3 linked regions of the Styela clava genome follow. The protein of the gene in region 2 interacts with the protein of the main gene of each other region in a pairwise test. Links are inferred from orthologs where the notes say so. Each region holds a gene or a part of one and is shown on either strand. Other genes may lie near its edges.

Region 1 (6,996 bases), on a different chromosome or scaffold from region 2:
CATCATGATGAGTGTTAGGAATACGTTCCCCACCGCAACTCTGATCACCCTGCAAGAAGTTTGCTGGATAAAAAAATCATGACAGGCTTCAAATATGTAGGGGAAAGTGGAGAGGTATGGGCCACCAAACTTTGGAGGGCTACAACGCTTTGGCCCTTTGAACTAAATATTCACTCTTTTACCCACTGAATGTTTAACAAAACAGCTAACTATTCCCAGCATTGTTTTGGAGTTTTCAAAAGTAGTTTTGGAAAAAAATGTATTTTTCCACAAAAATATAATTTACACAAAATTTTTTTATCATTTGAGGTATGGGCCAGGCAGTGTCAAGTATGGGCCACCATCAAAAAACTAAAACCCAGTGCTTATTGTGAAATACAACTTTACTCAATCCCAAACCCCATAAGTAAACATAGTTTCTACAATCAATAAAGCTGTTTTTTAAATAAAACATTGGTAATATGCAACAAAATTATCACCAATCATAGAATAGCCAGTATTCATATATATCCTGGAAATTTGCAGCACAGCTTTGTCTCATTTGCATTCACAGTCCCCATAAATTTGTATGTCACTGCTCTGTCTCTAGTGAGTGCTGGATCTTTAAAACAGCAGACAACATTATCCAAATCTATTTCAAAGATGTCACTTTCCGAGCTGTCTAACAATGCTACTGTTAAATCACTGTTAACGAATTATATGATTATTCCTGTCTTCCCGCTTTTTTACCTTGCTTTACTTTTTTTCTTAATTGCTTCTTCTTAATTAAAATCTTTTCTATCTGCTTTTGCGAGAGTTGTACTTTTGGACGGGGGCTTTTGGCAATGACGTATAATTTCTGGGGAAACGACCATTCGTGATGATCCAGGCAGGTCATCTGATTTGGCAGAAGATATACATTGCATTGCAGAAACACGAAAGAATGGCGAAAACTAAAGACATTCTCATTAGATACTACATTTCCCTAGGTCACTATCATCGTTTATATTGATTAACACGACTACCGACATGGTATGGCAGGCCCATACCTAAGCATCCAAAATGGCCCATACCTCAGGCACCCTTCCCGCCATGTTTTCAGACAAAATTTGATTACAAAAAAAGATGAGCTGTTTCATCCAACACTTTCTTTAACAGGACCAAGACACAGGTTCCTAGGCCTTTGACAGATTTTATTAAAGAACCACAACTGATCGTGCTATCCCAATTATTCTAATTTTTCAAAAAAAAAGCTTTTCTACGAGAAATCACTTAGTACCTCATAGCTGAGACACCTTGTAAGCTGCTGACCTGCAAATAACATGTGTTATTTGGTGGGACCTATGCAATAATCACACCAAGTTACAGGTGATTGGGATATTATAAAGCTGTTGAACTTCCAATGGCCCATACCTCAAGGTGGCCCATACCTCTCCACTTTCCCCTACTTACTACTGTATTATTCAACATTACCTGAATCTTTCTTGTCCAGCAGTGTCCCATAACTGTAATTTAATCCTTATTGAAGGAGCAATTTCAATCAATCTGGCGTAGAAGTCGACACCCACAGTGGGGTCGGAGATCTAAGAATTTAAATTACAAATATCATAGCCTATATCAGGGGTGGGCAACATACGGCTCGCGGGCTGGGTCCAATCAGCGACGAGATTTTGACCGGCCCGCTGACTGTACATCAGTACATTATGATATTACACTTTTAGTAGATTATGATAAATTCATTATGTGTTTTTTGGTCTCTATTTTTTCGTGAAGTTTAAACTTTAAACCTGATTTATAAATTTCTCTCTTGCAATAGCGAATAAATATATGATTAAAATATTGAATACTATTCATGTAAAAATACGGCCCAACGTGGACTTCTTTTTCCCACATCTGGCCCGCCGACTAGAAAAGTTGCCCACCCCTGTCCTATATGAATCAAAAAATGGTCACTTTCTCACGTATTCAATGCTAACCTACATCATTCCAATCAATATTCTACAACTTTTATTTTTAAACCAATTTCAATTTGCCCCTTTCTCTATGAAACAACACGAAAACAATGACAGGCAAAAACGTATAAAGGGGGTTTAATAGCATACAGCTTTACGGTACAATATTATAGTACTGTTATCAGTGGATTCTCCTGTTCAGCCACAATCGTTTTTAGAGTGCGAAAAAATTGAAAACAACGCACCCATGCAAATTTTCGGGGTCTAGTATAGTTTAGTAGCACAAGTACTTCCAGTGGGCGTAGCATAACAAATTTGGCATATGTTATTCTTAACCCCCACCTGACTATTCCATCCAAAAGTTATGTCACTCACTACGACGTCATCATCACGTCATATGACTTGCCAAAGACAATTACGATCGCCCAAAATGATATCTGCGCTGCCGATAACGAACTCGCTAAAGTTCGATAACGAACTCGGCGATCTCTCTCCTATTGCCTATCGTGATCGTTGTGAGGAGAAAACGAGAGAATAGCTTGCTCCATTTCGGGTGATCATCTGCGCATTTTTGACGACCATTCGCATTCTTTGGTAGGCAACATTACGCCACTGTGACGTCGAAAAGACGTAATTTTTCGGTGACGAAGTCAAGTGGGGGTTAGGATGGACATATGCAAAAATTGTTGAGCCAGGCCAACTAGAAGTGCATGTCTGCATGTGGTACCAAACAACACACCAATGCGAATTTTCGCATCAAAGTATTATTCAAATTGGGGACCTTTATACACAATCAATTTACCTCTAAAAAATCTCCATCGCTAAATCTCCTTAACAGCGCTGATTTTCCTACAGTAGAGTCTCCAATCAATACAATCCGAAATTGATAAGACCATATCGTTTCCCCTCTAGACGGGGACCCATTCGGTTGCTGCTGCACGTCTGCCATCGAAAAAGTCGGTCCACAACAGCCTAAACTAAGTCTTTGTGCCGCCCTCATGCACGATTATTCTTTATTTTAAAGAATTAATAAGTTTTATCGGCGCACACAAACAGGTAAAGCAGCGCCACTGATAATACGTGACATGTTTTACCAATATCTTACGATAAATCGTTTCATTATTGATGACTGCACAAACTACACAGATGTTGGACTTTGCGTTGCCAGATATTTGAAAGCGATTGCTCCGAATAAAATCCTCTAGTATTAGATATTAGATATAAAATTTAAATATGAGTGTTTACTGTAATTTATGACTGACATACTACTGAATAATATATTTATGGAGTTGGATGATATACATGTAATTTGTAGTAATGAAACACTGTTGAAAATCTTTTATACTTCTGGCAACTTGAATCTTTGTTATTGATTTTCAGTTGTGGAGTTGAAAATGTGAATGCCAAAAAGTTTTGTTTTAATGTAGAATTCTTTGCGGTAGAATATGAACTGAGATTAAACCAGTGCAAAATAGCATGAACGTCAATTAAAAGTCTACATAATGTTCAAGATTGAATAGTGTCTGTTCCCCTAAATTAAAATTTGCCACCTTGTGGTGGTTCCGTAAAAGCATATCGGCGGATCTCGTGCTCTGCGAACGTCGATGGACCGCGTGCAAAAGTTTTTTATGAAAAACGCGAGACTGCAGTACCTGATCTGGTAATACAGGCGTGACTTGATTCAAGTATTTCAATTCACGCTGGAACAGAATCATGAAGGATGCATCATCGCCACATGATCTGGAAAAGCTACGACAGTCCTCGTACCGTTACTTCTATCCCTGGCAATCGAGTTGTCTCTGGTTATTTAGCCGTGTAGTCGAGTTGTTAGTTCTCCGATACGGCTACTGGTAGCGGTCTTACTACTTACTGAATACAGCGCGAAACACCGCAAAGAGCGCAAAACAGAGGGAAACATCGCAAAACAGTGGGGGAACAGCGCAAAACAGGAGCGAAAGAGCGCAAAACAGAGGGAAACAGTGTGAAGCAGAAAAAAATTTTGCAATGAGTTCGGGGCACCTTGTTTTGAGTTGGAGTACCACGGCAGCAAATTAAAAACACAAACCAACGTATGTAGCCAGTAATGCTGTAATGGCAGGTCCGCCCCTGCTGGTGACACATTTTGGGTACCATAATTTAGAACATTTTCCATATGGATATGGTTGGCTTTAGGGTTAGGTAGAAAGGGGCCTCCAGAAGTATGTGCACCAAGATGGCGCACAACCTGAAAATAGTGTGTGTGTGTGTGTAGCGGGTTCAGGTTGTGCGACATATTGCTGCACATACTTCTAGACTCTAGAGCAGGGGTTCTCAAACTTTTAGTGTTGCGGAGCCCCTGAAAAGGTTGATTATTATTCGCGGAGCCCCAAAAGAAATGTCAAAATTGTAGCTTTCCGATAAATATTCCTGAGTAAGTTAAAAGTACTTAACTTAATTTAAATGCTAAACCTTTTTTTTAATGGGGTTAATGCAAGTCATAAATAAATCAAAATTTTAAAGATAAATTATATATACTCTTACTAAAGCTGTAAATTTGACACTTGACAAACATATTGATAAACTAGGGGTCGAATCTTTTCCCTTTTGAAATTTTCGGAAGACTCAAAAGGCCGCTATTAGCGTGCGCGATTGCATTTTGTTACAATCACCGATAGTTTTCGTCAGCATGGCATGTTTTTAAACATCTTTACGCCGGTGTTCATTCTCCCTAAATCAAAAATTTTCTTCGGCATATACATGTTTTGTTTCACAATGACGACGATAATTGCTTTTTTGTCCTCGTGGGGAATTATGAGTTCAATGTGAAAAATTTGTTACCATATAGTCATCGGCGACGAAATGCTAAAAATAATAATTAAGAATAAAGAGGTAAATCCGCAACTCAAATTTCTTGATTGAAAAACGGCATTCTAAAATATTAAAACTTAAAATAAAAGATCACACTATAAGTTTGGTTTTAGCAGACTCACGTCAGATTAAAAACGCTCTTATAGGCATTGTAAATCACAAAATTTGGTGTTATGTTGGGTTTTCTTTGGTTATTCATCGTATATATAGTACCTGCGAAATCGAAACACAGTCAATTGTGTGCGCGATTTACCTTTTTTTATTCTGAAACTACCGACGGAGCCGCATGCAAAATAAATTTCAATCGTATTTTGCCCAGATCTTGTGATTTTTTAAACGGCGATATCTTGCTTAATAATAATCTCGAGTGCAAAAGAACAAATCAAGTTTGACAAATTCCAAGATCGCAAAAATACGACTCCAATTTATTTATAGTTGGCAGTTTATCACGTATTTTATGTTATTTTAGAATAGTATTCTTTCATTTTAGTAATCCTAATAGTAATCTCGAATGAAACTTGTGTAACTATGAGTACAATTGAATTATTACGACAAGACACTTTAAATGCTCGCATCGGCCATACATTGAATATTTTACGCAACACAAATCTCGTTATCCATTTTTTATAATCGCAAAGAATGGTGCGCGGAAATTTCCGATTCAAATCCCCACCTCTTGAGAATCCTGGCTGCGCTCCAGCTTATAAATAATGTCATTTTTTAATTCCGCCTCTTTGCCATATTTCGAGGCTATATTGTTGTCAAATTTTATCAAAGCTGTTATTGCTTCTTTGAACAGTTACAAAACTAGTCATTATTTTGAAAAGTAATCGAATAGCTCGCGGAGCCCCTGGGTTTCTCTCGCGGAGCCCTGGGGCTCCGTACGGAGCACTTTGAGAACCTATGCTCTAGAGCAGGGGTTCTCAAACTTTTGGTGTTGCGGAGCCCTTAAAAAGGTTGACTATTATTCACGGAGCCCCATAATAAATGTTAAAATTGTTACTTTCCGAATAATATTCCTGAGTAAGTTAAACGTACTTTTACTCAATTTAAATACTAAACACTTTTATTAGGGTCAATAGAAGTCATAAATAAATCTCGTGGGGAATTATGAGTTCAATGTGAAAAACATGTTACCATATTATAATCATCGGCGACGAAATGCTAAAAATAATAGTTAATAAAGAGGTAAATCCGCAATTCAAATTTCTTGATTAAAAAGCGGCATTCTAAAATATTAGAACTAAAACTTAAAATGGAAGATAACACCATAAGTTTTTGTTTCAGCAGACTCACGTCAGAATAAAAACGCTGTTATAGACATCGTAAATCATAAATTTGGTGTTATGTTAGGTTTTCGGTTATTCATCGTAGTAACTGCGAAATTGAAACACAGTCAATTAATTATGCGCCTGGTGTACCATTTTTCCTTTCTGAAACTACCGACAGAGCCGCATGCACTAAAATAAATTTCAATCGTTCGTATTTTGCCAAGACCTTGTGATTTTTCAAACGGCGACATCTTGCTTGAAAATAATCTCGAGTGCGAAAGAACAAATCAAGTTTAACAAATCCCAAGATCACAAAAATACGACTCCAATTTATTTATAGTTAGCAGTTTATCACGCAGTTTATATTATTTTAGAATAGTATTTTATCATTTTAGTAATCCTAATAGTAATTTCGAATCGAACGTGAGTAACGATGAGCACAATTAAATTATTACGACAAGACACTTTAGAATTTAGATGCTCGCATCGGTCATGAATTGAATATTTTAGGCAACAGAAATCTCGTTATCCGTTTTTTTTAATTGCCAAGAATGTTGCGCGTAAATTTCCGATTCCAATTTTGAACCTCTTCCCTCTTAAGAATCCTGGCTGCGCTCCTGCCTATAAAAATAATGTCATTTCTTAATTCCGCCCCTTTGCCATATTTCGAGGCTATGTTGTTGTCAAATTTCATCAAAGCTGTTATTGCTTCTAGGAACAGTTTTAAATTAGCCAAGTCAGTATTTTGAAAAGTAATCGAATAGCTCGCGGAGCCCCTGGGTTACTCTCGCGGAGCCCTGGGGCTCCGTACGGAGCACTTTGAGAACCTATGCTCTAAAGCACCAAAAAGGTAGATAAAATTTCGCATGATGACCTATAATCCGGTACATAACCTTGTAAATTTACCGGAAATAGCGCCATAAAACCATGGCGAATGGCGCCGTGGT
Region 2 (7,817 bases):
CAGGAAGTTTCCAGGCACAAATAACCAGTTGGTATATTATATATAATATTTAAAATTGTCAATAACGTAAAACACTTTTAATTATTTAAATTCTTCATATATCACAATTCATAAATAACATTTTTTACCATATTAAATTCCTCTTCCAATTCCTGATTCTTTTTTCTGAGATCTCCCAACTCTTCTCTCATTTCTAATAACTGTGTATCAGTTTCTTGCTGTTGAAACAAGGTCATTTTGACAATCACAAATAGACAACGATTATTTACCAACATGATGTAGCTTTAGTATTTAGATTCTGGTTAGTAAGATTTTACCCAATCAAATGAATGGCAACAATTCAACAAAGCATTGATCTCAAATCCACAGCTTTACACATTATCAGAGTTTAGATGAATGATCAAGAGTATTTCTTTTCCCATGCTATGTCAGAAAATTTCGAAAGGGCTACAGACTTTACAGCTAGATTTTGCGTCGCAGCGGTGGTCACTCTGAGGGATCAGTGACTGCATGGTCTCACATGCTAGTTGGCTTCACTCTGGTTTATTTTTGTCACTTCTATTATATAAAATGCCACTATCTAGAGATGTTTATAAACAAATTACTCCATACCGGACAAAATATTCTGAGGCCTGGACATGCAATTTTAGATGAAGAATCTAATTCAAAAATGCCAAGGCTTTTGTATTTTTGTGAAAAAAGGACACAGAACACTAAAATTGACACAGTTTAGTGTGCGAACAATTATAACAAAATACCAATAATTTATAGAATATTATCTACAATGCAAGATTTCTAAGCGTAATAATTATTCAATTCGTCAATTCATTATTATTCAGTAACTGCCTCCCAAATCCTGTGCATATCGACACAGGAGAATTAAATTAGCACATTTTTAGATTTTAAGAAGATAGATTTTATTGTCATTTTTAGATCTGTAGAGCCAAACCTATGATTGGATAAAAGGCACTACTATCTAAAATCAAAACTAAAACTGATACAGCTTTGAAACCCAGACCATTAGATGGCTGGGAAATAATGACAGAAGATAAAAAAAAATTCATTTCTGAGAAATGAGACATAAGCTAGATTGGTTTTAATGTGGCGATATATTCATTCACACATCCATTCAGCCAACATATTCCTATTCCTTCGAATAAATTTTTGTTTAATTGTATGAAACAACTCAACAATGTCAAATGTACAAAGGTTGAAAATATAAACAAAACAAAGGATTTTCAAGACTATACTTATAGCAAACCTTCAGTTTTCGTTTTTCAGCCTGGTATGTGGCAACTATCTTTGATTTCTCCTCAGTGACAGTAGACAATGACATTGTTAGTGTTGCAATTTGATGTTGCAAATTTTTCAATTCTTCAACTGTTGAATCATTTTCACCTTCAGCCTCATCTTGGTGTGACACATCAGATGCAGAATTTTCCTTCTCTAAAGGTATACAGTTTTGAATCAAATTGATATGAATTTATTTTCAACTTCAATGATATGAATTAAATCTGAAACATAATATTATACAGCCATTCTATATGAACCCCATAAATCATAGAAGATAAACTAGTTCAGATATGTATCAGAAAATTTATCACATAATAGCCTACAATAGTATGCAAATTATATCCCATTCGTTTAATAGTTCAAATGATACCTAATAAGTTAATTGTTCCAGGATATAGATAGGTGCATACAAAACAAAACATGTACAAAGTGTGAGTCCCAACCAACAAAAGTTACAAAAAACCATGTCACATAGATAATTAAAAGTAAAACGAACTAAATATTCACACAACAATCACCAAACCTTTCTCTTCTGGAACATCATCATCTTTCTCCGTGGCATCGTGTTTGGCGCTTGATTGATCATCAACATCAAGTGAATTTTGTCCTGTTGGCCCCACCAACTAAGGTTCAATTATAGTTTGAAATTTTTTTCATTCTAGTTTTATTGATATGTACCCTTTTGGAACTTTTAAAGCCGGTGTATAATCTTTTTTTTTGTTCTTTTTTCTACGACCTTTTTTTCTCCATATGCACACATAATTTCAGTGATAACACATTACTTTAAGCAAAATTTTTGGAGCAAACGAACTACATCAAATTTTATTAGTCTAAGACTCGTATGTAACAGCATACTGTTCATTGGCCAATATGCAACTTCGATTATATCCAAAATTTAACCCTTGAAACCAGCTTGGGTAAGGTCACTGATAGGTATTCTAAACTCATCAAGTGAAATTGCAGAATTCTTCCCCAAGGAAATAGAGGCCAAAATTTCATTTCATTATTTATTCAATTTAAATCTTAATAACATTTTCATCATATGTTACCTTTGATGCCATTTATCATGATCATTACTATTACTGACCCACTGAAATATTGTAGCCTATTTATTGAATGGCCATAACATATATCATTATCAAACAATAAACCATCAGCTAATTGATTCATTAAGTGAAAAATATAAAAAAATATACACTTGTATTTTACTATTTGAGCTAGCAAATAATTGATTGTTAAACATTTGCTACATACCAACGGTTTGGATCCTAGACTAGGCTTTGACTTTCTTCCAAGACTAGGACTCGCATGACATGATGACAATGCTTTGACACTTGCTTCTAACGCTTCCTTTTCATTTTGCAGACTTTTGTAAGCAGAAACCAAATCTAAAATAAAAATAATTAATTTTATTTGTGCAATTTGATATTGCTCATAGCTGTAGCGACAACATACACTTACAGACTTAGGTAAATAAAGAATAGGTTAAAAAAACTCAGATATGATTAATATAGAGTTTCAGGCTAAGATACCATATTTCCAAATATCTGTATATTATGGTATTCCAGCATTCATATCAGCATATAGCATTTTAATCTTCTTCTATGTAGAACTGCTTAAAGAAAGGAAATCATTGAATATATACAACAAACCTCGCAAGCGACTCTCATAACGACCAAGTTGTGCTTTCTGTTTTTCTATTGTATCCAACAACTCAGCGTTTTTATTAAATTTAAACATCTTCAGAACTTGCTTCTGAAATTTGTTTCAATAATGTTACAGTAACAGATGGTTTATTTTTTGTCACTAGAAATATAAAATCATATTGATTAAGAAATAGACTAAATGACCACATAATTTTGGGATGGACTAAGGGTTGGCGATACGACCAAAGACAGATAGTCTAGGACCCTAGGTAATCAGCCAGCGACCACAAAATTATGGTCGTATCGCTCCCTCCAGTCTAGGGGTCTCAAACTTGTGGCCCGCGAGATGATATTTTGTGGCCCCTGCCTTGGTAAAATAGTTTAATGTTAGTGCGGCCGCAAGTCACTTAGCTCAGCATGATTAATGCTTTCATTATAACAGCGTTTCCCAAACTGTGTTCCGCGGAACACTAATGTTACGCGAACATCTCCCGAGTGTTGCGTGGAAAAAGGATAAAAAATACATCTAAATTGGTCGCCATGGCGATGTGAGAATCATGAAGTTGTTGCCAAACTGACCGTTTAAGATCGCGTCACCGTCGACCTAAAGTGGACTAACTAAGTTAGGGTGGTGGCATTTTTGTTAACCGTCGGTTTATCTTTTTGACTGTCAATTTCATTATCAAGTTTACAGTACTTCTTTTGGTTTTGTTGAAGACAAACAAGTAAGTCTAAAGAATAAAGGCAGAAGGTCAACCGTTCTTCCTCCATCTCTACCAGGTTTTACTTTCAAATGCTGAAAGTTTGTCAATCAATTTCACCCTTTCATTTTTTGGTGTTCCGCGAGGCGATATAAAAAGTGTAAGTGTTCCGTGGCCGAAAAGGGAAACTCTCACGTAGGGCAAAACGAAATATTTTATCATCTATCCCCTGAAAGGAATATGTGGTGCGGTAACCTACCAGTACCATACCTGTAGGCCTGATATTCGATCGCGGGAGTCGGGACCGTCTGAAATAATTTAAAAACAGTGTTTCATGATTTTAGACGTCACAATCACTATCTTGATACATTGTAACCATGTTTCCCATGTGGCGAAACATCACTGTCCAGCGGCTGAATGCTTGATTGAAACAAGATGGAATTTTATAATTTTGCACATCCTCAAACGTGTCGTTGGAAGTGAAGTTTCAGTAAACAGAAAGGTTGGTGATGAGACAATTTCAAATAACTAGGAAATGCAATATTTCTTTGTTGAGCATAGGAGCATCCCGACATGTTTTATCTGCACAGTTAAAGTTGCAGTGCACAAGGAATACAATTTAAACGAGTTGCTAAGCTTCTATTGTAAAAAACCTGATGCGGCCCGGATTCATCCAGACTCTGCCCCAGCGGCCCCCCAAGTAAATTGAGTTTGAGACCCCTGCTCCAGTCTATACCGAATTGAATATGTGTATAGTGTATATATTTTTTCGTATACCATTGTTTGTTTTCTGGTTGACAAAACAATAAATCTCTCTCTCTCTCTTCTAGCCTATAAGTCAACAGTCTAACTTCGCTAACGTTACTCCAATTTCGTCTGTAGGTGTAGACTGTATTTGTATTCGTCTATAACATGAGCAAAATAAGCCACTTACACAAATAAAAATGCTTTCTAGAGAATATTTATGTATTTTTCTCAACATTTTAACCCTAAAAATATCAAAATCACATTTCTATAAACCTAAAACACCGCCGTAGAAAATGCGAAAAGACAGACAGCTCACCAGGACTCTCTGTAGTCTGCTAGACGAGTTGTCCTTGTAGTCGAGTTGCTGTGCAGAATCCGGTCGCCGGATTGAAATCCGGCCGGATTTCATGATTTTTTTTTTTCGCTACCGGATTGAATCCGGATTCCAAAATCGGACACTGCGCCGGATTTATCCGGATTTTGAAAGAAATCGATTTAATTTGTATATGTTTTTCAATTTTGACTGAAGATATAAACTTTCAGTCTATCCGTCCTACTCTTTGCCGTCACCACACGTTTCTAATTTTGGGCATTGCAGGAAGGCTTCGCTAGTTTGCTACCCTTGAGTGGCGAAGGATTCGTCATGGTTTGCTATATCTCGAAGCAAAGGAACAAGCTTCGGTCTTGTGTTTTGGTATAATTTTTGAAGGATTTTATTATCATGAACAACTAAAGAGTCCGTTCGGTTAGGAATTTACCAGTTGTTGTTTTCAAATTCATTTCGGAATTCAAATATGTGAGTATTATTTGAATGATTGTTTTGAGAATCCTTTTCGAATTCAGCACTTTTTAGCTTTTGCACTTGCTGAATTTTGAACTTGTAGTTTCAGAGTTTATTCTGTAAGTTGTTCTTGAAGGTGGGTACCGTTAGTCCTTTTGGATTTGTGTTAAGGTGGTGAGTATTAAATGTCATGCCTGATTTGACTTAGTAGTGTAGAATTGTCCACTATCTGACTATGCACTACCCGACTACAGTTCATTTGGGATAATCCAAATTGATCAATCAACAGCAAATCCACAATGTCAGAATATACAGCTGTACAGACAGACAGATGCAAGCCATAATTTGCTTTATTTAATTTTACATATTTCATGATTTAACTGAAAATGCTGAAATGTGGTCTACTCTATATCATGTAGGTACACAAATAATGAACCTTAATATTCTTGTAATCAGTTTTGGTAGCATGGGTAATAGCATATTACAGTATTATCAGAGCAATGATAGAGATATGTTGGTTTCCATATTGCGAGTGATTTCCAATCGTATCACAGACAACGCGACTGGAGTCTGATAGCGTTTTAGGAATATTTTATATATTATTGCATTACTATTTGTTACTCCCCAGAATACTTCTTACCTTCCATGTAACTAAATATGGCAGGTTAACATGATTTAATCGTTATAGAAGAAATATTACTTTCATCTGCACTACATTTCTTGACCATCAATCCCAGGATTGCTTTATATCAAGCCACAGAAGCATGTGTGTCGTTCCCGATATCACATTTTCACCTGATTTTCTTTGTTACACAGAGTTTAAACTTGATATTGTGCGTATAAATAGAATATGCAGAATGTTATGATTCACTGAGGAATTTGCTGAGGTTTGTAAATCTTTACCCGAAATAAAGGAATTTTTCGGAATATTTTTCCAAGGAATCCGGATTCGGATGAATTCTGAAATAACAGAAATATTTTCGGACGGATTCGGATTCTGTTTTTAGCGAATCCGCACACCATTAGCACTCATAGCCTCATCCTACAGTCCTAGAAAAGCACTCTGTAAAGTTTACTGCCAGAGAGACAATAGTTCACTAGACGTCGTTGTTTTCACCTCACCTGTACCGGTATGGTATACATGGGATTTGCTGTATACTACATATGTTATCAACGACCAGCTGTCGAGTGGCATTATAAACATCAAAGACAGCAACCTATAGAGTAGACCGTAGACCTTTGACGCCCGAAAAATTCTTCCTATGCTTTAGCACAGCGTTCCCAACCTTTTTTGGTCGCGGAATATTTCCTCACCGGCGAAAACCATTGCGGAATCAATGTGCGTTTATTGCAACCGTACTCTGTGTGAAAAAGCAATAAAACCAAACACAACAGAATTTTAACAAATTTCAAAATCGGCAATTCGCCGCAATTACGCGTTCGGTAAATGAGCCGAATTTTTTAGTGAATAATGGTATTTTCTGTCGCACAATATTCAATCCATGACAACGACGAGAATTTAAAATGTCCTTCTATTTTAATTCAATTTTGTTCATGTTAACTCGCGGTTGCGTCGACTCACGTACGACAAGATGAAAGCATTACTTCTTTAAAATTGCACGTCAATCTGCGACTATAATAATGTGAGAATATATTGCCCGATTTTATTTAGTTTGGATACATATTTTTTGCGATCTTGCGAATTTGTTATCGCCGTTAGAAAAATCCTACTATCTGCTATAAATTTCCAGAAAGTACAACTTGATTTAGCACTTAATAAAAATATATTTAAAGTATATCAGTGAATCAAATATTCATCGCGTTGCTTTATTATTAATTTAATTGCGATCATTTTAATCTGCGGGTGTAGAAACTCAGAAAATATCATGACAATGCGTGGACACAAAAATGCGTGGTAAAGTGCCTGATTATATTTTGTTTTGATTCGTATTTTTGTGAATTCGACAAATCTGAGCTGTTCGTACAACACTGGTACGTTACTACGGTAGCACCCGAAATTTTGCGATTCGTAACGTCTAAAAGGGCGTATTTAATCGGTCGCCGTCCATCATAAGACAAAACTTGAGTTGTGCTCCGTTTTATTTTTAGTATTGCCGCTTTTCAATTTAGAAAATTTGGGTTGCCACCATCGACACTTAGCATCAAAAAAAAATTTATTCCTCGTTGTTCGAACTCGCGAAACACCATTTAGGTATCTATCGAATCGTGTGCATAATCGTGTTTTCGTCGGAAATCCGCAAGTGAGTCGTGAAATCCGATCGTTCAATTAAGCGACGCGCAAGTGGCCCGTCGCGTCACCTGTTACCAAATTTTCAAATGGCAAATTTTTATTTTAATAGTTGAATTTTCGACCATATGACCTGCTCTACTCAGTAACCAGTTTTATTGACTTGATTAATGTTATGTGAATGGACTTGCTTTTTATGTTTTATGTAAATTCTAACGTAAATCATAACTTGCTGATAGTTGAGTTTCGCAAAAGCGTTTGCGGCACGCAGTGAATTTCTGGCTGGTTGCGGACTCATTCAAGCGCTCCACGGACTCATTTAAGAGCGCGGACTCGGGTTGGGAAACACTGCTTCAGCATTAACAACTTTCAAACAAACCATCGGAGCGTGACGGCTGCTG
Region 3 (7,221 bases), on a different chromosome or scaffold from region 2:
AGTCAACAAAGAGAGCAATAAGCATATGCTGCCACAATGTATTGACGTTCTTTGTTGCATGTGCATGAGACGGTTTTCACAGACTTTTGAATTATTCATAGCAAGTCCGTCTGGTAGGAATTTCTAGGCTATTAAGTTGACTGTGCATTCGTTCAATTACCGAGTCTAAAAACGCCCAGACAGATATCGAAATATTGAACATGACCTACGAACGTCTAGTCTATCTTTTCCTCTGGGAAGACAAAACGTCGAAAATACAATAAAGTCAATTTCCAGTTATTTGATTACATATTATCAGGCTCCATATTAAAACAAAAACACTCCATTTTTACTAACAGTATTTTCACCATTAGACTTCATTTTACCAAAGTTGAGAATAACCAAAACACAAACAATGTCAATTTATAAAAGGTAGGCAGAATTTTGTTCTTGTAATATTTGTCAAGAATGAGTAACACCGAGATATCACTGTATACGAATTCCTTTTCTTTCACAAATGTGATTATTACTGATATGGCAAGCTAAAATTTGTAACGAAGAAAATTCAAACCAACTACCAAACAACTTTTCAAAATAGGCATCTCTATTACATGGTTGGATTGGTTAGAGAAAATTTCTAATATTTATTTTAGGTATAGAGATAAGACTCATTTTAGGTATGTCTTTCATATGACCTGGAGAAAATCTAAAGTCACTAACAGGATTTTAGATATTATAACGGATGACAGTTGCTAGCTGTTCTGAGTTTGTATTGAAAACCACATTCCTAAAATTTGTGTATTTTTATATATCTATATCTTCTATATATACCAATCAATAAACACTTTGGTAATGTTACTTAGACGTAAAGCAACATCTTTCCTATACAAAAAATCTACCAGTTCAGGAAGACTGATGTGATTGATGGCACCATGTCTAGACTTGTATGTTTGAGTAAGATTTGAATCACCCTCATCCTTATTGCACAATAGGTATAATTTTTTTGTATGGCCGTTGATATTTATAACCTAATGTTATTCTGTGTAACAGCATGCTATATCTAAACAATTTGAGAACTTTAAATAGGCTGATTCTCCTTTTTTAATCTTCATTGGAATTATTTCAACAAAAAAGACCCTTCAATAAAAATATTTTGCCTAATTTACGATTCTAAATGCTGAATGTAGGTTCTTACCGTTCGGTCTTCCAAATACATTGTTTTTGAAAGAAAATCAATTCCTATTGTGGCCTGCAACAAAATAAGTTTTGAATTCAGACAAAAGTCAGAAGTGAAAGTGGTAAAAAAGACTACTGCGATCTCTACATAAAAATTGATTTTATTCAAGACAGCGGTCTTAGTGCCTAACATACATGCAAATCAGACAAAACAAAGATACAACGTGTATGAGCCAAACATTACAGGGAATTCCATTTTCATGTGACGGTTTGTTTTACTCGCTTTAGATTCCCATGGGTGAATTATGATTTAGACTTTGATGATCTACAATTATCCAGTATTAAAAAACAACACAGTTGTACAAAACATCTTTATTTAATTTATCAAGATAAAACTTGAGGAAGCCAAAAATTGAACCTATTTGAAGACAGACGTATAAAAAATTATGCCATGTCCAAAGCCTGCTACATTTTTTAATTTGTAGGCCAGTTGAAATACTGATCAATTTTTTGCGATTCTAGCAAATCAGATAGAAAGATGATGGGAGAGTGGGCCATACAGTATTGTTCTCATGCATGAAGCTAACAAATATTGTACCTTAGACTTGGTCAAGCAATGATGCCCATGAAAGCGTTAAAATAAAACACGAAAAGCAGCATAAGTTAACAGAAAAGAGTAACTAAATTGATATTGAAAATAAAATTTTAGCACTGTAGTGTTAACACACTAAGACCGCAAACAAATCAAGATTTACCACTATTTATCAGTTATTGGAGTAATGAGCAAAATCTTATTAGACTCCAGAAAGCAATCTGACAAAAAATATTGTTTGAAAATTCATAAAATATAATAATATTATTCACAATATGCTACAATTTCCAGAACCAATGGTGCTAGAAGATTTTCAGGCCTGATTATCATCATTTTATATTCAAGTTATTGTCAACTCCTTATGTGTAACGAAAATAAATCACGTGCTCAATACATTTTTTAAAACTGAAAATCTATTCAATAGTGAAGAAGTTCATTGCGAAAGTGAAGAGAAATCGTGAAAAGAATTTCCCTACTCATCGCCAATCCTCGATTTTCCTCATGAATATAATAATTTTTTTAAGAGAAAGTAAATCTTAAAAATGATGAATTCTGAATATTCAACTTTTGACATCCAATACAATAGAAAATGCATCTACTATCTTTTCAAAACTTTTTTCATAGGTATATCCCGCCATTAATGAATACTTTTTATAATAAAAAACTATTCAACAATTCGTCGAGGCAAAAATTTGAGGCATCTACTGTTAGTTATGATTGTTAACGCCCAAGTTGACAGTAAATGTTCATCATACTATCACCAGACTCACCACCCAGCACCATTGGTCTCAATCAGCTGAGATTACATTTATAAGAATTACCGGTACAATTTTTTTTTACAACAATAATCACCTGATACGTGTTATCAAAACTGTCATACATAAATCTTGTAATAAGCGATGTTTTCCCCACTGTAAAATTAATAATATAAGATTAGTATGCAAAATAACATTATTTTGTCATAATCCTAGTAATAATCCAAAAGAACTACCTAGCTTTAATTTAAACTTTTGCATAAAAAATAAACACAAATAAAGTACATCAAAGATAAAGGATATGATGAAAAGTTGAAAAAAACTACAAATCTAATAAATGAGAAAAAACGGGATTTCATTTTTAAGCCATAAATAATGAATATTCTTATTTAGTAGTAACACATTAATTAGAGTGATTTTATGACATTTTAAAAATATTTTATAATGTGACAAAACTCTTATCAGAAATAACACACTCACCACTTTGTTCACCCAGGAACACTAACTTAAATTTCCGTAACGGATTCCCAAAATCGCTCGTCATTTTAATATTAAATAGATAATAAACTTTAATTATATTAATAAGACTCTGTCATACGAAGAATTTAAAAGAATTTTATCGTGAATTTATCGGTATAAACATTTGAAGGTAACTTATAATTGTGCTATAGAAAATTCTCAAGTTTATACTATATTAAATAGTATGGTAGATTATTTGGCTTTGGCATCTATTGATGAAACAAATTCATTGCCCATAAGTTGCAGAATAATAAGTGGTTACCGGTGATTAGAATGACAATGTTATACTGAAAGTTGCAACTAGTTTCTATCAAATTTGCTGAAAGAACAACAATCAAGACAGATAATAGATTTGTGTAGCAACACATTTTATGTAATTTATATATAAAAGAATGCTTAGTATGTTCGTGAAGATAAATAAGAAGAAAACTGACAAAAGTGAATCCCAAATTAACGCTTGTCAAAAGACAACTGACAAACTTTAAACTTGACCGATTCAAAATGATCTTATCTGGGAAAAAGTGTTGAGAAAACGTGTTACAGCAGGAGGAATCAATTTCCAGTTTAGATAGAATGGGTAACAACCTCATTCTCATAACATCCTAACCAAGACTGGCAATAAAACGAGAGTTGATCTGCCCTATGATACATTGTAATATCGCAGTATTGTACATCTTTCACCAATAAATATGAAAATCCTATCCCTTTAATTAAAAGAGATACAAGCAATTGAGTAGCTTCCCCAGATTCTTGAGAACTTTCCACTTGAGGTTGACAAAAAATGAAGACGAGAAATCATGAAACTCAACACCCATAGTACAGTACAGCAGTAGTAATACAGAGTTTACAGGTCTACGGTGGTACCGATAAGTTACGGTACGTGTAATGTGTAGTCATATACCCATTACCCAGGTACACATACAAACCATACCAGAGCACATGTTCCTACTATTGACTATATATCATATTTGGTCTCACAAATTATCAATTTACAACGAAATAATTATCAAAAAGCACATGATTCACGTTCGAACAAAGTACAAAATCTGAATTCCAATGCATCCGTAGCCGCGATTACGTCACCACCTGGCGTAATTTTTGCTGATGCGAAAAGATTATGATGGCCGTCTCTCAAGCGTGACTATTTTTTTCAAGATTTTTCATCAGAAGTCGCAAAAAATTGCATTGGGTCAGTCCTTCTTGGTGGGGAACACAATTTAAATACATTTGCAATGCCATTTAGAAGTTAAACGCCAACGCACGATACAAGCGCACTTTGGTAATCTAGCTAACTCCATCAGTGTTCAGAATACAGTGGCATTTATTCGTTTTGTTGGTCTTCCTCTGGGCTAAAACGATACTACTAGTTATTGTGTTAATTGCAATGCGTTATACCAATGATATTAAGCAACATGATGCGCAACTCCGGCATTTTTAGCCGAAGATTGTATCCGATAGCACGCTCCAATGCACATACTTGACGAGACGAAAACGAGCGGATGTGTGCTGCTTTCAAGGCATAGCACGAATGGTGTTCGTGCCTGCTTTGACAGTTGTTTAATGTCGTTGGTTATATAGATGCGAATTCCCGTCCAACTGGTTTTTATAAAAGAATAGGCAGTTCAATGAATAACTACGATTATATTTTCTCTGTAAAAATGTACATAAAAATTCTAAATGTCGCAAAACTAAACAAGCAACAGATTTATGCAGATAAATATACATTAAATTAAAACTATTAATTGCAAGTACAAATGTGTTGGATGCATAAAAAGTATGCTTTGGCATCTAATGAAGCGAAGTTGAATAAATTCTTATACAAAAACATTTGTTAAAAACTAGAATAAAGCAATAATATTGGAACTTCAATACGAAAATATAACAATATCAAGAGAAACGACAGCAATCTATTTTTACTTTGGAAAAGGCCGAGTTTTTGAATAAAGACCAAAATAATTCTTGAAAAGATTAATTACTGTAAAATTCTATAAATTTGATACGCTTTTACAAAATTGTTTGGTTCTCCCATCAACATTAAATATTGTCATGGAATTTGATTTACAACTACAGTGGTGTCTGTCTTGGACTATTGCATTTGTTCATGTTCAAGTATCATTATTTATTTTTAAAGTAGGGACGCACTAAAGCATAATGCAAGCAACAGATGAGATGCTATGAGTTAAGCAACAAACTAAAATATAGGAGCCTCAATTGTCGTTGCTATTGTGCAATTTTATAACAAAACTGATATAAAGAAAACCCAACGGATTTTTTAAAATCCAAAATGTTGTGAACAATGTAAGAATGTGTCACCAACTACATATCTTGTGAAACACAGTCATCAAGGCAAATATGGTTAGATGTGGCACCTCCTTCACCAAACTAACTCTTTTATTTATGAGACGATGAAACACTCAAAATGTAATGATCCTCCTACAGTTATACAGTAAATCAATTATTAATATTGAATATCAAATTGACAACAAACAAAATAGCCAACACCATTGTGATGTCACTCATTCAAAGCTGTAGTTCTCTTTAATTCCAAGTTCAGCCAACGTCATTCCTGTTGTTCCAAAATAAACTGCTTTTCCAACTTTTGACTGCAGAATCTCTCCCACATGAGCCCTGCGACTCGGCAGTAATGATCTGTGTAATATAATTACAGTTGAATACGGATGAAAAATAAGTGATTTGAGACATTATGGTATATTCAATATATATATTCAGTGACTGACAAAAAGTAACATCTTTGAAGTTACTGATTCTGGAAGCTTTCGATAAAATTAAATTGGTAAAGATAAAATGTGCGGTTATGAATGTAGAAACGTCCGTTTCCAAAGTATAATATGTTTATTCAGCCATATTTGTCTTTTCCTACACTTTAGGCTGCACTTCATATAATATACAAAAAAAATTTGGCAGTGAATACAATGAATAATAACAATCAAAGATGATGTTATCATTTCACATAATCATTACATACTTTCCAGTTGAAGGCTGGAGAACACTTGTGGATCGTGATGAAGCAGTCTTCTTCCTTGGCTTTCCTTTCGTTTTACCAAATTTGAGATGACTTGAAGTAGTTCTACCAGATTTAGATCTTGGCATGAACTCCGTGTTAGTGACTATGTTTTTGGGTAATATTTTCATGCTGTTGCTTGTTGGGTCATTTTCAATTGCTTCTTTCAAAGTGTGAATTGTAAAATAAGAAGCAATTTCATTTGCAGATGGGGAGGACTGTTCTCTCTTATCTGAAAATAAAAGGGTGTAATGTGAAGACTGGAAAAAAAATATATTAATCAGTTTTCAAACAAGTTAACGACTCGAGGGTGTGGCGCATCGTGCTAAGCGTTAGGCGTATCACCGCACCTCTGTTTACCCTGCATTGGTTCGAATCCCATGCGGGATGGTTATGTGCAAGAGGATTGCTGGATTTCTCGGCGCTGTATGGTTAAGCCGCCTTATCGCCTTTCTTCCTCGGGATAAATATGTATATCCTATCCTAAACAACAAATCTATCAAGGATCGAAACTATATTATTAAGAAAAAAATTGCAACATGTCACATACTTTTTATACGAAGACATTCAGCCTTGTGTCGTTCTTCCCAGGCTTTTAGTTTACAGGATCTACTGCAATAATAAACTTCACGACATCTAGAACATGTTGTCAAACGCACACCAACAGATCGACCACATTCATAACAATAACGAAAAAGGGGTTTTCTGAAAAGGATTGAAATTGAATCAAGCATTGAATTTTACAAATTGGGTAGAAAGGGTCTATTCTCCTATGCCAAATATAAATCAGCCAACATTGTCTTTGTCCAAATTTTTCAATTCCTTTTTTACTCATTGCAAAAAATGAAAAAGTATTTCTGAATTATTGTAGATTCATTTAGAACCTTGTTGTTTTGTCATAACATGGATTGTGGGGAATGAGTATAATCAACCAATACTCAATTTGCAAAGAATTGTTGAAATTTCTATTTTCAAAAGTATTATAAAAAGTATGTTGTTTATCCTACGGTAATTAATCAGATAAAATTATTTAAAAAAAAAGATCGTATCCGCCCAATTGAAGAGATGTCCAAATGCCTCATTCCTATATATTGTAAAGTTTCAAATTTTATTGCACTAATGATCAACTACAGCCTGCGAATCGAATGAAAAATGACAACAAAGAACAGAGATACAAT

What was found.
Region 1: the proteins of GRIP and coiled-coil domain-containing protein 1-like (region 2) and ras-related protein Rab-39B-like interact in a two-hybrid assay, tested with the Drosophila melanogaster proteins (2 studies listed by BioGRID). The link is inferred for Styela clava from reciprocal best matches to the Drosophila melanogaster genes GCC88 and Rab39.
Region 3: the proteins of GRIP and coiled-coil domain-containing protein 1-like (region 2) and ras-related protein Rab-6A-like interact in a two-hybrid assay, tested with the Drosophila melanogaster proteins (2 studies listed by BioGRID). The link is inferred for Styela clava from reciprocal best matches to the Drosophila melanogaster genes GCC88 and Rab6.

What each region holds. Positions count from the first base shown.
Region 1 is NC_135250.1:29,957,232-29,964,227, reverse strand, and holds the start of ras-related protein Rab-39B-like, read right to left. Parts: upstream 3,116-6,996; 5' UTR 2,932-3,115; coding exon 2,734-2,931; intron 1,563-2,733; coding exon 1,453-1,562; intron 1-1,452.
Region 2 is NC_135252.1:3,461,135-3,468,951, reverse strand, and holds the start of GRIP and coiled-coil domain-containing protein 1-like, read right to left. Parts: upstream 3,100-7,817; 5' UTR 3,034-3,099; coding exon 2,946-3,033; intron 2,682-2,945; coding exon 2,548-2,681; intron 1,917-2,547; coding exon 1,817-1,916; intron 1,447-1,816; coding exon 1,262-1,446; intron 219-1,261; coding exon 129-218; intron 1-128.
Region 3 is NC_135256.1:11,596,973-11,604,193, forward strand, and holds the start of ras-related protein Rab-6A-like, read right to left. Parts: upstream 3,105-7,221; 5' UTR 3,047-3,104; coding exon 2,983-3,046; intron 2,659-2,982; coding exon 2,600-2,658; intron 1,229-2,599; coding exon 1,175-1,228; intron 1-1,174. Other genes in the region: ankyrin repeat and MYND domain-containing protein 1-like, read right to left, coding at 5,538-5,670, 6,008-6,275, 6,594-6,748. UniProt on the Drosophila melanogaster protein: Protein transport. Regulator of membrane traffic from the Golgi apparatus towards the endoplasmic reticulum (ER). Mediates membrane trafficking during egg chamber growth and organization, possibly upstream of exocyst component Sec5.